Linked DNA regions of Rattus norvegicus. The protein of the gene in region 1 interacts with the protein of each later gene in a pairwise test. Links are inferred from orthologs where the notes say so. Each region holds a gene or a part of one and is shown on either strand. Other genes may lie near its edges. The genes, in order: Ap1m1, Mtf1 and Zbtb43.

Evidence for each region.
Region 2: the proteins of Ap1m1 (region 1) and Mtf1 interact in binary tests that used the Homo sapiens proteins (3 or more experiments, as listed by UniProt). The two-hybrid records come from large-scale screens. The link is inferred for Rattus norvegicus from reciprocal best matches to the Homo sapiens genes AP1M1 and MTF1.
Region 3: the proteins of Ap1m1 (region 1) and Zbtb43 interact in binary tests that used the Homo sapiens proteins (3 or more experiments, as listed by UniProt). The two-hybrid records come from large-scale screens. The link is inferred for Rattus norvegicus from reciprocal best matches to the Homo sapiens genes AP1M1 and ZBTB43.

Annotation. Positions count from the first base shown.
Region 1 is NC_086034.1:17,620,295-17,623,425, reverse strand, and holds the end of Ap1m1 (AP-1 complex subunit mu-1), read left to right. Parts: intron 1-1,273; coding exon 1,274-1,399; intron 1,400-1,674; coding exon 1,675-1,750; intron 1,751-1,904; coding exon 1,905-1,927; 3' UTR 1,928-2,516; downstream 2,517-3,131. UniProt on the Homo sapiens protein: Subunit of clathrin-associated adaptor protein complex 1 that plays a role in protein sorting in the trans-Golgi network (TGN) and endosomes.
Region 2 is NC_086023.1:142,346,155-142,349,871, reverse strand, and holds the start of Mtf1 (metal regulatory transcription factor 1), read right to left. Parts: upstream 2,819-3,717; 5' UTR 2,734-2,818; intron 2,685-2,733; exon of another isoform or gene 2,030-2,684; intron 758-2,029; 5' UTR 707-757; coding exon 302-706; intron 1-301. UniProt on the Homo sapiens protein: Zinc-dependent transcriptional regulator of cellular adaption to conditions of exposure to heavy metals. Binds to metal responsive elements (MRE) in promoters and activates the transcription of metallothionein genes like metallothionein-2/MT2A.
Region 3 is NC_086021.1:37,159,016-37,162,763, reverse strand, and holds the start of Zbtb43 (zinc finger and BTB domain-containing protein 43), read left to right. Parts: upstream 1-1,278; 5' UTR 1,279-1,378; intron 1,379-3,748. UniProt on the Homo sapiens protein: May be involved in transcriptional regulation.

The DNA.
Region 1 (3,131 bases):
CCATGCCCTGCTTCCTGTCCCCAGGCTTACACCCACAGAGTCTCAGAATGGTCTGCCACAGTAGCTTAAATTGTTTGTGTAGCAGTGACCGGTGCTACATTCCCGCCAGAGGTGCTTGAGGGTTCGGGGTTCTTGTCTGTCATGTTTTTGTTTTTGTCTTTGAGGTTGGATCTTAGCACTGGCTGACCTGAGCACACTGTGTAGATAGTCCAGGCTAGCCTCAAACTGACGGAGATCCTCCTGCCTCTGCCTCCATCCATCCTCATGTTCCCTTGGTCTTTGATTTGTGACTGCGCCCCAGCCCAGTCGCCCGCCCTCCTTCAAGTTCAGTTCCCTCACTGATTTTTCCATCAGTGTCGATGCAGAGAAACATTCCTTCCAGCTCCGCCTAGGTCTGTACCTACGAGACCACAGTGTAACATGTAGTGCCATTTTCTACAACTCCTGCTCTCACATAGAAGTTGTTTTGTGTTTTTGTTTTGTAGGGACTTTGTTAGTTTGAAATGGTCTCCCTGAATGGTCTCAGAGGTCTGCAACTCATTCTGCAGTCCAGCGTGACCTCAAACTCTTGTACTTCAGGCTGGCCTTGAATGTGCTCCCCCCTCCTGCCTCTGTGCCCTGAAGGCCCTGCTTCCCTGTGTTCCCGAGGGCAGGTCTTCTCTCTCCGTCCCCCTTACTCTGTTGTTAGGTCCCAGGAGTCAGAGGGCTATGCGCTCTGGATCCATGCAGATGGCATGGTGTCCTCTGTGGCTGGGAGCCGATGCAGGGACCTAGGCTATGGAGCCCTGCCCTGCTGCACCCTGAAGTGTGAGCTCAGGAAACCAAAGGCCATGTGTTGTCCCAGGTATAGCTAGAGCTAGAGTGCCAGTCAGAGGGAACAGCCAAGCCCAGGCCTGATGCACTCTACATGGCCAGAGCAGGGCAGGGGTCTCAGCTAGTCCTGACTGGCCCCGCTCTCCAACCACCTCCAAGTTATCGCTGGGCTCCTGGGAACCTGCACCTACCCACACCTCAGTGTCTTCCTCTCCCTATTCACAGTCCCCTTGGGGCTGTGCAGTGGGACAGACACATCCCTCTCCCCAGTGTGCCCCGGGCTCCCTTCACTACAAGTCCTGTCTGAACGGTCTGGCTCCTCAGCCACCCGTCTCTCCCTAGGAGCTGGTGAAGCCAGGTCACACCCTGCCCCAAGTTGGCTCCTGGGAGCCATGGCTAGCTTGGGAGACAGCACATGGCTGTGGGCTGCTGCCTAACTGCCTCCTACATTGGCCCCCAGGGTGGCAAGGAGTACCTGATGCGGGCCCACTTCGGCCTTCCCAGTGTGGAAGCGGAAGACAAGGAGGGCAAGCCTCCCATCAGCGTCAAGTTCGAGATCCCCTATTTCACTACCTCTGGCATCCAGGTATGAGTGTGTTGGGGTTGGCTGCCTGAACCTCACACTTGAGCCCAGTGTCACAGCAGAAGCCCCATCCCGACATAGGGCCTATTTCCTTGGGGTCCCTCAAGTGTGTGGATGAGGGAAACACACTGTTCCCCTGAAAGGCCCAAGGTCACCAAGCCTGGGTCTTGGCTGCTGCTGACAACCCCTCATGCTATGCCAGGTCTGCCCCCTTGGCCTTGCCCCTTGGATGAGGGGTGCTGGTAGGGGTGCAACCTACTCAAGGCTCTTGTGTCCAGGTGCGCTACCTGAAAATCATTGAGAAGAGCGGGTACCAGGCCCTGCCCTGGGTACGCTATATCACGCAGAATGGAGGTGAGTGGCTGCCTGGCTAGCAGGACCTACAGAAGTCTTTCTAGGCCGTGGCTTCCTACATGGAGCTGAGGGTGGGTGCCCTGGGTATCTGTGGAGCTGAGGGTGGGTGCCCTGGGTATCTGTGGAGCTGAGAGTGAATCCCCCATGTTTCTAGATTACCAGCTCCGGACCCAGTGAGAGGCCTTGGTAACCAGCCCAGCCCACCCAGCCTCAGGGCACACCTGCCACACTCACCAAAACTGAAGCTGGAGGGTGGCCCTGGACGTGCAGCCACCCTCCCCTCAAGCCTGAGTAGACTCACACAGAACCCCTTCCCTGGTCCCATTCTGATCCAGGGTGGGAAGGAAGGGTCTGCCAGCCTCCCCCAGGGACAAGCCAGCTGGAGCTGAGCTCCTGGTGCCTCATGACTGGCCACCCACCACCCTGTGGGCGCCATCCCTGCTCACCACTGGAGCCTCCTTTTGTTGCCATTTTGCTGAGCATGTTGGTCACTGTCGTCTGTGGCTGTCCTGTCACCTTTCTGTCCTGTCCTGTGCAGCTGCCTCCTATCCACACTGGTCCTTCCCTGGCAGGACAGTCGCTCTCCTGGGCCAGCTGTGCCCCCTTGCCCGCCCTTGACCACATCAGTGTTTTCCCCGGAAGGGCACATGGCCTCAGCCTCTGCCCCAAAGTCCCTGGGCAGCACAGGCCAGTCTCACTGTACAAGACCTCGTCGTCCTCCACCCATGTGTGACAGTGACATTAAAGTCTATTTGTTACATGTGCAGCCTCTTCTCTCTGCTGTGGTCAGGCCCCACACAGGGACCCTGTTGGAAGGGTCGACTTCCTTTGCAGCAGAGCAAGCCTAGCAGTGAAGGAACCACACTTCCCTTCCCGTGGTAGCAGGAGTGCCTATCCAAGAGACACTGGATAGAGTGTCCTCTCGGTCTCTAGCTTGCCTGTCATGTCTCTGCATAGTGGCCGTCCTCTGGTGGTCTGAAGCTGTAGACCCCCATGTTCCCACCTGCGCAGGTATAGGCTGGGCCCCCATACTGGTGACTGAGCTCCTGTGGGCTTCAAGTCCTGAGTTTCTACATTGGGTGTCTGAGCTCTGACCCTCAGGACCATCTCACTCTGTGACTCTGCTCTCCTGTCACTCCTTGTCACCACACTCCTATGTGGGCTATGTTGTGCAGACCTCACTTCCAAGTACAACCTTCCCAGCACAGGGCCTGCCAGCACCCTAGAAGCCTCCCAGCCCTGCCTTACTCACCAGTGGTCACAAGGTCACACTGCACCCCACCACCTGTCACTCTACAGGTCTGCAGCAGGCTATGGCTCTATGCAGCTCACTTTAACCCACCCACCATGGCCCTGCACACCTGAGAGATGCAGATATGCG
Region 2 (3,717 bases), on another chromosome or scaffold:
TGCTGTTACTTTCACAGTATAAACATGAATTCACTTTGGTGAAATTTCTACTTTATTTATGATTTGGAGAGGAACATCTGAGATATTACAATGCAGTATTCCTCAATTACAATGTGGCCATACAATCAAAAGCTCTAGAAAGCAGTCACAACAAAACAGGAAGCGGATGTGCTGTTGAGCGGCATGACTACAGAAGGCTCTTAGCCCAGGAGCTCCTTTAACCCCCAGTTAAAACTGCCAGCGCGCTGCAGAAGGAGCTGCCCCAAAGCCACACCGGGCCCTCATTTGCGGCTTTACTTACTTCTTTCCGTTTCGTTTCAGGACATTCCGACTGCAGAGTAAGAGTCGCACCTTCAATGTTTCTTGGCATGGGCGTGGAACCAGGGTTTATAGTCAAATGAATCTGATCTGGTGAGATAATGTGTTGTACGTAACCCTGGGACATTGCTTCCTGATCTATTAGGAAGCCCTCTTCACCTTCCACCAGAAAAGGCAAGTGTTCTCCACACTGTACATCGTCTTCATCATCCTCCAAAGTGCCAGGGTCCTGTTCTATGAGAACAGTGGTCCTATCATAAACAGTTCCAGATGAGGAAGGCACCAGTCCGTTGTCATCCACAAACCTGAGCATCTTGTCATGCGGGGTTAGGTCATCTTCCTCTCCCTTAAAGAAGATGATGTTGTCGTCTGGACTGTGTTCCCCCATGGTTCACTTGTGCTCAGCCCAATTGTGAGAAATGAAAAGGTAATGGCCTTTCTGCAACAGATAACACCAGAGTTAGAACCATAGCACAAGACTCACCTACATCCTTTTTTTTTTTTTTTTTTGGTTCTTTTTTTTTGGAGCTGGGGACCGAACCCAGGGCCTTGCACTTCCTAGGTAAGCGCTCTACCACTGAGCTAAATCCCCAGCCCCTGACTCACCTACATCCTAAAGTCATCCTTATGGTTCACTTTCCCTCAGTTTAACGAGCAAACCAAAGTGCTAACTGATCCCAGACCTTGGGAGGCATAGGCAGGCAGGCCTCTGTGAGTTCCAGGCCAACCAGGGTTAGTGGTAAGACTCTGTCTCAAAACAAAAAGACAGAGAGCAATCCAGGCCTAGGAATGGTGATGAATGACTTTAACCCTAGCACCTGAGAGGTAAAGTAAGCTGGATCTCTATGAGTTCCAGGTGAACCAGAGATACACAGTGAGAATCTCTCAATCTCTCTCTCTCTCTCTCTCTCTCTCTCTCTCTCTCTCTCTCTCTGTCTCTCTCTCTCTCTGTCTCTCTCTCTCCTCCTCATCTTCCTTGGAAATACTTAAAATCTGACACAATCAGTCACTGTTAAGGAAAAAGCAAATCCCCCTCCCCCGCCCCAAATTCAAAGTTGGTGTTCACAGGATCTTCTAAATGTGACTTACTGTCACATACTTTAAAGATGGCGTTAAGCTTTACTGGCAGGTACTATGCAGCTCATGAGGATAAAAGAGCAAACAGGTGGCTGCTTAAAGAAAAGTTGCTGTAAACCTTAAGTGAGGCACTCCCGTCCAAACGCCCTCCTCCCTCAATTGCACTGAGAGGCAGTACACAGCCTCACGTCGTTGATGGTGCAGAAACAACGCTTTGAACATAATCACCTACAAACCCTTCTTTTGCCCTTTACTGCTTGGGCAACCCATCTGTGCCTGTCATTCGACAGTGGGACCTATGGTTCCTGTTTCATACAGAAAGAGAAACTGCAGGTAAAGTACAATCCCGTCAGGCAGTAGAAAGAGGGTGGCTTCCTTCTAGAACACATGGGCTGCAGGGGACTAAACCTTAATAAGGAATAGCTAATGCAAATCACTTTAATTATTTATATCGTAAAACATGATATGGACCAGAGAGTATTCGTGTACAGAGTGACTAGGCTTTCTGCCCCGAAAGGCTGTCCCTAACATAAAGCATACTGACACGAGTCGGTCAGGAAATGTCAGCAAAATGAATGAAAGACATGAATGAAAGATAGTCTCTTTTTTGAAGATAGTCTCTTGAGGAAATTACCAAATTTGAAGCTTTCATGGTCTGGAATGGTGATTCTTCCTTCACCCGAAAACACACAGGTTCTACAAATGTGGGTTTGGCAGACACAAAAGGAGAATTTAAAATAACCAACACATCACTTGGTTCTCAACCTGGTTCTGCACTTTCTCTTCTGCTCGGAGTCAGCAAGTGAGCCGGAGTGACAAGAAGGTGAGGTAGTTACCAGACACAGATTAAGGGATCTAATCTGAGAGGAACCAGCCCTAACCTTTGCTTACGCAACCCCAGAAATACACGTTTCTCTGTATCTGAGAGGAGAGATAAGAGTCCCCCGGTGGGCTGCCCCGGCACCTTCGGCGGTAACGCAAAGACCAACTTTCCGTAACAAGACCAGGAGGTGTGAGGGTGGCCGAGGACTGCGAACCGAGCACCCCTGAGAGACTGGCAGGAAGACCCTGACCGGGAAAGCACCCCCAGTCCAGGGCTACATAGAAAAACCCCGAGGCAGTCGGGGGGCTACGAGCTGGGAGAAGAGGGGCAGGGTCCGGGTCTCCATGGAAACAGAGAAGGGGGGCTGGATACCCATCCCCATGGAAACGGAGGAGGGGTGGGGTCCCTCGGGTGACTGGAATGAAGTCTCAACCGGGAATGGCTTCGGCAGAGAGCTCAAGTCCCACGCCCCCCGGTTAGTCCCAGCCCCAGCCGAGTCCAGCTTCTGCTTTTACCTCCGCGGCTCCCGGCAACAGCGGCAGCGGCAGCTTCTCCCCTCCCCAGCGGCACCATGATTGCCCCCACCTGTCCCTAGCGTCACTTCCGCTTCCGCTTTCCGGAGGAAGGAGAGGCCGGCCGATCCCTGCGCCCGCTGCCGCTTGTGATTGGCTTTTGCTATCCAGGGGCTGAGACCGCTCCTCTAACCAGCAGGCTGTGGGCGGAGCGAGCAGGGTCAGGCGCTCTCGTGCTGCACTGGGAAGCTGACCGTAGGGAGCGGTGGTCTCGGGCGCGGGAGAATACGCGATGTCAGCCATGGAATTGAGGTGTTCTCAGCCCCAGCTGCGTGCACAGCTGCAGCAGGAAGGGTGCAGTTAGCCGCCGCCTTCCAGATGCGTAGACCAGCCCGCGGTGTCCCTTTTCTCACCCCACTGTACCCACGCACATAGTTCACCTGGCTGAGGACCCTGGGACGGAACGCTGAGCAGAGCGCTCCAGTCGTGTCTCGTTCTCACGCGCCCGCCGGAGCTAGCGGTTCCAACCTTAAGGAGGGATTTTTGCTCTGGGGGAGGTCAGCGCCACCTACTGGCCAGTCTCCTGTCAGCTCCTAATACTCATCCAACCACCCTCGAAACCACTAGCTGGTAGCAGTATTTGAAAGCCCAAGAAGAGATTTTCCTAGTGCTTCTACTATATTCGTTATACTTCTTATTTACCCCATGAACGACTTCTCTAGAACGTTAAGTTGGAGCAATGTCTTTATAGGCAAGATCAGGATTCAGGCCCAAACTGTTGTACCATTCCTTCTGAGTAAGTTTGACTAAGTGACTCTCACGCACCAGAATGTCACATGTCCCTTTGGTCCCAGTTCAGCTGCTCTGTTTTTAAGCCACAAAGGACTAGATGTCAGGAACTACCATCTTTTGAGAGAGGGGAATGGGGGAAGAGAAGACCAATGATTAAGACCACCTAACTGCGCAGACCTGAGAGTTCTTTCGAAA
Region 3 (3,748 bases), on another chromosome or scaffold:
CACCGGAAGAGGGCATCAGATTCCATTACAGATGGTTGTGAGCCACCATGTGGTTGCTGGGATTTGAACTCAGGACCTCTGGAAGAGCAGTCAGTGCTTTTTTTTTTTTTTTTTTTTTTTGGTTCTTTTTTTTCGGAGCTGGGGACCGAACCCAGGGCCTTGCGCTTCCTAGGCAAGCGCTCTACCACTGAGCTAAATCCCCAGCCCCAGTCAGTGCTCTTAACCACTGAGCCATCTCTCCAGCCCCCCACACCTGCTATTTTTATATAGTTCTGGGGACTGAATTCAAGTCCTCAAGTTTGCAATTCTTTGCAAAAGATTTACCAACTGAGCCATTTCCTTAAGCCCCACATTTTTCCCCCTAGCAAGATGTTCTGCACCTGTTCCCAGTTCTGTGTTTCAGTATTTGTTTTCTTCTGTTTTGTTTCCCCGAACTTTTTTTATTTTAATTTTTTTTAAATGTGTATGCGTGTTTTGCCTGCAAACGGTTTTGGGTATTGTTTGTCTGCCTGGTGTCAGTGGAGGCCGGAAGAGGGAGACAAATACCCTGGAACTGGAGTTAAGGAGGCTGTGTACCACCATTTGGGTGCTTGAAATTGAGCCCAGGTCCTCTGGAAGAGAAATGAGTGATTTTAACCGCTGAGCCATTTCTCCAGCCGTCCCAGAATTTCTTTGAATAATTCTCTTGGAGAGTCACAGCCTTCTCTCTGAATACGTCTGAGTTCCAGAGCCCTACTGGCGCGCACACCTAGGAAACTGTCTAACCTAAAGCAAATGTATGTTTGGTCCAGTCGGGGTATCCACCCTACACCAACAATGGGGACACATCCTTGCAATCCTGATACTCAGTAGGTACATGCACGAGTGGATGTCAGTCCAACTCGAGCTACATAGTGAGTTCAAAGCCATCTTGGAATTTTATTACTTTTTCTTTGGGGGACTGGGGAGGAGTGAGCGTTCGTTTACCATAGTTCGCTTTTGAGGTTAGCATATAACTTGTAAGAGTTAGTCTTCCACCACGGGCTCCAGAGATAGTACCCAGGCCTGGCGACGAGCACCTTTATACGCTGAACTATCGATTAGGTTCAAAGAGCTACGAACTACGAACTAGCTTCGAAACCATTGCGCAGGCGCCAGCCCCTAGCGTGCTCTCCTGAAGACCCGCCCAGAAAGGACTCCTGGAGCATACGCACACCACAGCGTCGCTGACACGCCTCCGGAAGCACTGGCAGTTTCGGGGGCGGGATCAGAAAGCGTATCCGAGGGGCGAGAGGCTCGGGCGGAAGTTGTCCCCGCGGTGGCGGCGGAGAATAAGGCCTTCGTACGGCAACAGGGACGCTCCGGTAGGCTGGAGCTGGGAGCGCGGAGCCGTCTGAAGGTACGGCGGTGTGGGGAGGCTGGGCGCTCGCGCGCGAGGTCGCGGTCGGGGTCACGAGTGTCCGCGACACGGGACACTGCGTTCCCTCCGACGGCGGTGATGCGGGACGGCGCGAGTGATTCCGAAGCCCCGGCTCCCCGGTTTGGAGTCCTGCGGCCTCCCGGGCGACCTCCTGGCCAAGGTCACCCGGCGGCAGGTGCACCGCAGGCTCGAGAGCTTGGAGAATCCGCCCCCGGGGCGACCTCGGGGTCGAGCCACCTACGCGCGAACCGACGCCGTGAAGGAGAACCTCGCTGCTCTGAGTTTCGCCTCTTTGTCAGACCGTTGTCACCTGTTTTTGTCCTCACCTGGCCTCTTGTCAGCTGGAGTTTACACTTTGCATCTCTGGTGCTGACAGTCTTTGGACTTTGTCTTTACCTCTGTCTCCTCTTTTCCTCAGTGTGTTTTGACCCTGCTACTGTCCCCTCGGGCCGCCCTTTGGTTCAGGGCCCGAATGTCACACCGACTTCTTGGCCATTTGTCTGGGTTTTTTTCTCTCCCTCCCAACTGGGTTTGTTTAGGCAGGGCGGGCCTTGCCTGGACCTCTGAGACATGGAAGGTGACTCATGACCCTGTGAAACTCCCCTGCCCAGGCAACATTACCAGTAGTCTGACTACAGTCTGGCCTCAGTTCTGACAAGTGTCACCAAACCTAGCAAAGTGTCACGAGCTACTGTCCTAAGTGAAGTCCCATCTCAGGATCTAGGCAGTTCAGTGTATCTTGAACTTCTCTTCCCAGAGGTTTGCACTGGTCTCCACAACTCTTTGCTCTTTCCAGGAACCCCAGGCTGCCTTCAGGACTGTTTGGAAGTGCCCTGCTTAACCAGGCCAGCATCTACATACAGGCTTAGGGAGGGCCAGACTTCCACCTGCCTTTGAGACCCTTAACTTAGCACAGTAGCAGAGTCTCTAGGAGCAGCTTAGTGAAGAACTTAAAAAACGTAATAGAAATTGATTCCTTGCTTGTTTCCAAAGTACTGTCTGAGAGGAAGACACAGGGATGAACACCGAAACTTTTGGAATGGAGCGTCTGGGACAGACAGGACACGAAACATAATATATCAAGTGCCAGGCCGCCATTCAGTAGATACAGTTTTAAGAGATGGTCAGGACATTCTAGAAATGGTTTGTGCACATCAGTGTGAACGATGTAGTGTCAACACAAGTAACCGTGGTTTGGAACACTTAATTGAATCCCTTTTCGTGATGCAAGTCAAGCCCCTCACAGCAGCAGGCTCAGCCGAGGCTTAGGAGATTGGGGCCCTGAGTGACTTTAATCTTGTGGCAGCACTTTTCCACCTCCCTCCCTCCTGGCCCCTTTAGAGTCACTGCAGAGATCTACTGAGGGGGAATTTGAGAAACACAGTACCTTTGACAGGCAAAGAACTTGTAAAGCTGGAAAAAAATACTCCTTTATTGGCGTAGAAGGTGGTCTGTTCTTTTTTCATAGGCTAGGCCTTTTGGGGTTTGTTTGTTTGTTTGTTTTTTCTGATTTACCTACCTTTAAGGTCTTTTTTTTTTTTTTTGGTTGGCTGGCTGGCTGGTTGGTTGGTTGGTTGGTTTGGTTTTAGTCTTTGCTTTTTTCGAAACAGAGTTTCTCTGTGTAGCCTCGGCTGTCCTGAAACTCACTCTGTAGACCAGGCTGGTCTTGAACTCAGAGATCCGCCTCCCAGGTGGTGAGAATAAAGACCCGTGCCACCATGCCTGGCCTTGTTTTGTTTTGGTTTTTTTGAGACAAGATCTCTATAGGGACAGGCTGGCCTCAAACTCTGAGATACTCCTGCCTCAACCTCCTGAGTGCTGGGGATTAAAGACTTTTGCCAACGGGTTTGGCTTCAAACTTTCTAATATGCCTAACAGTTGACTTACTGTCGTATTTCATTGACTCTTAGATGCCACCAAGTGTTTTCTGTTTCACCAAGAAAAGAAACCCTGCCTGGAGCAGAATTCATTCCCAGCACTTGTGCTTCTTCGTCCTAATTAAAACACTTTGGCTTAGAGTTTTAAAGAATGAAATCAGTGCACACTCTATGGGTCTTAGAAGAGGAGAAACATAAATAAAGAGCCATCAGCTAGCACCTCAGGAGATCCCGGCTTTGGGAGTCCTTTGAGTACTGTCTGCTTCAGAACTGTATCTATAGTTCTTCCAAGTGGAGTCATCCCTCGTGTCATCAGAAACTGTTTGCCAGGAGTGCTTTAGTCATTACCCAGTAGCCACAGCTGTTAAAACTGCCACATACATCCTGTCTGGTGGAGCCCAGGTAGCTCCCTGAACTGAGGAGATGAGTGCACCTGCTGGCCGCGCTGCTTAGCCAACCCTCAGAGTGGGTC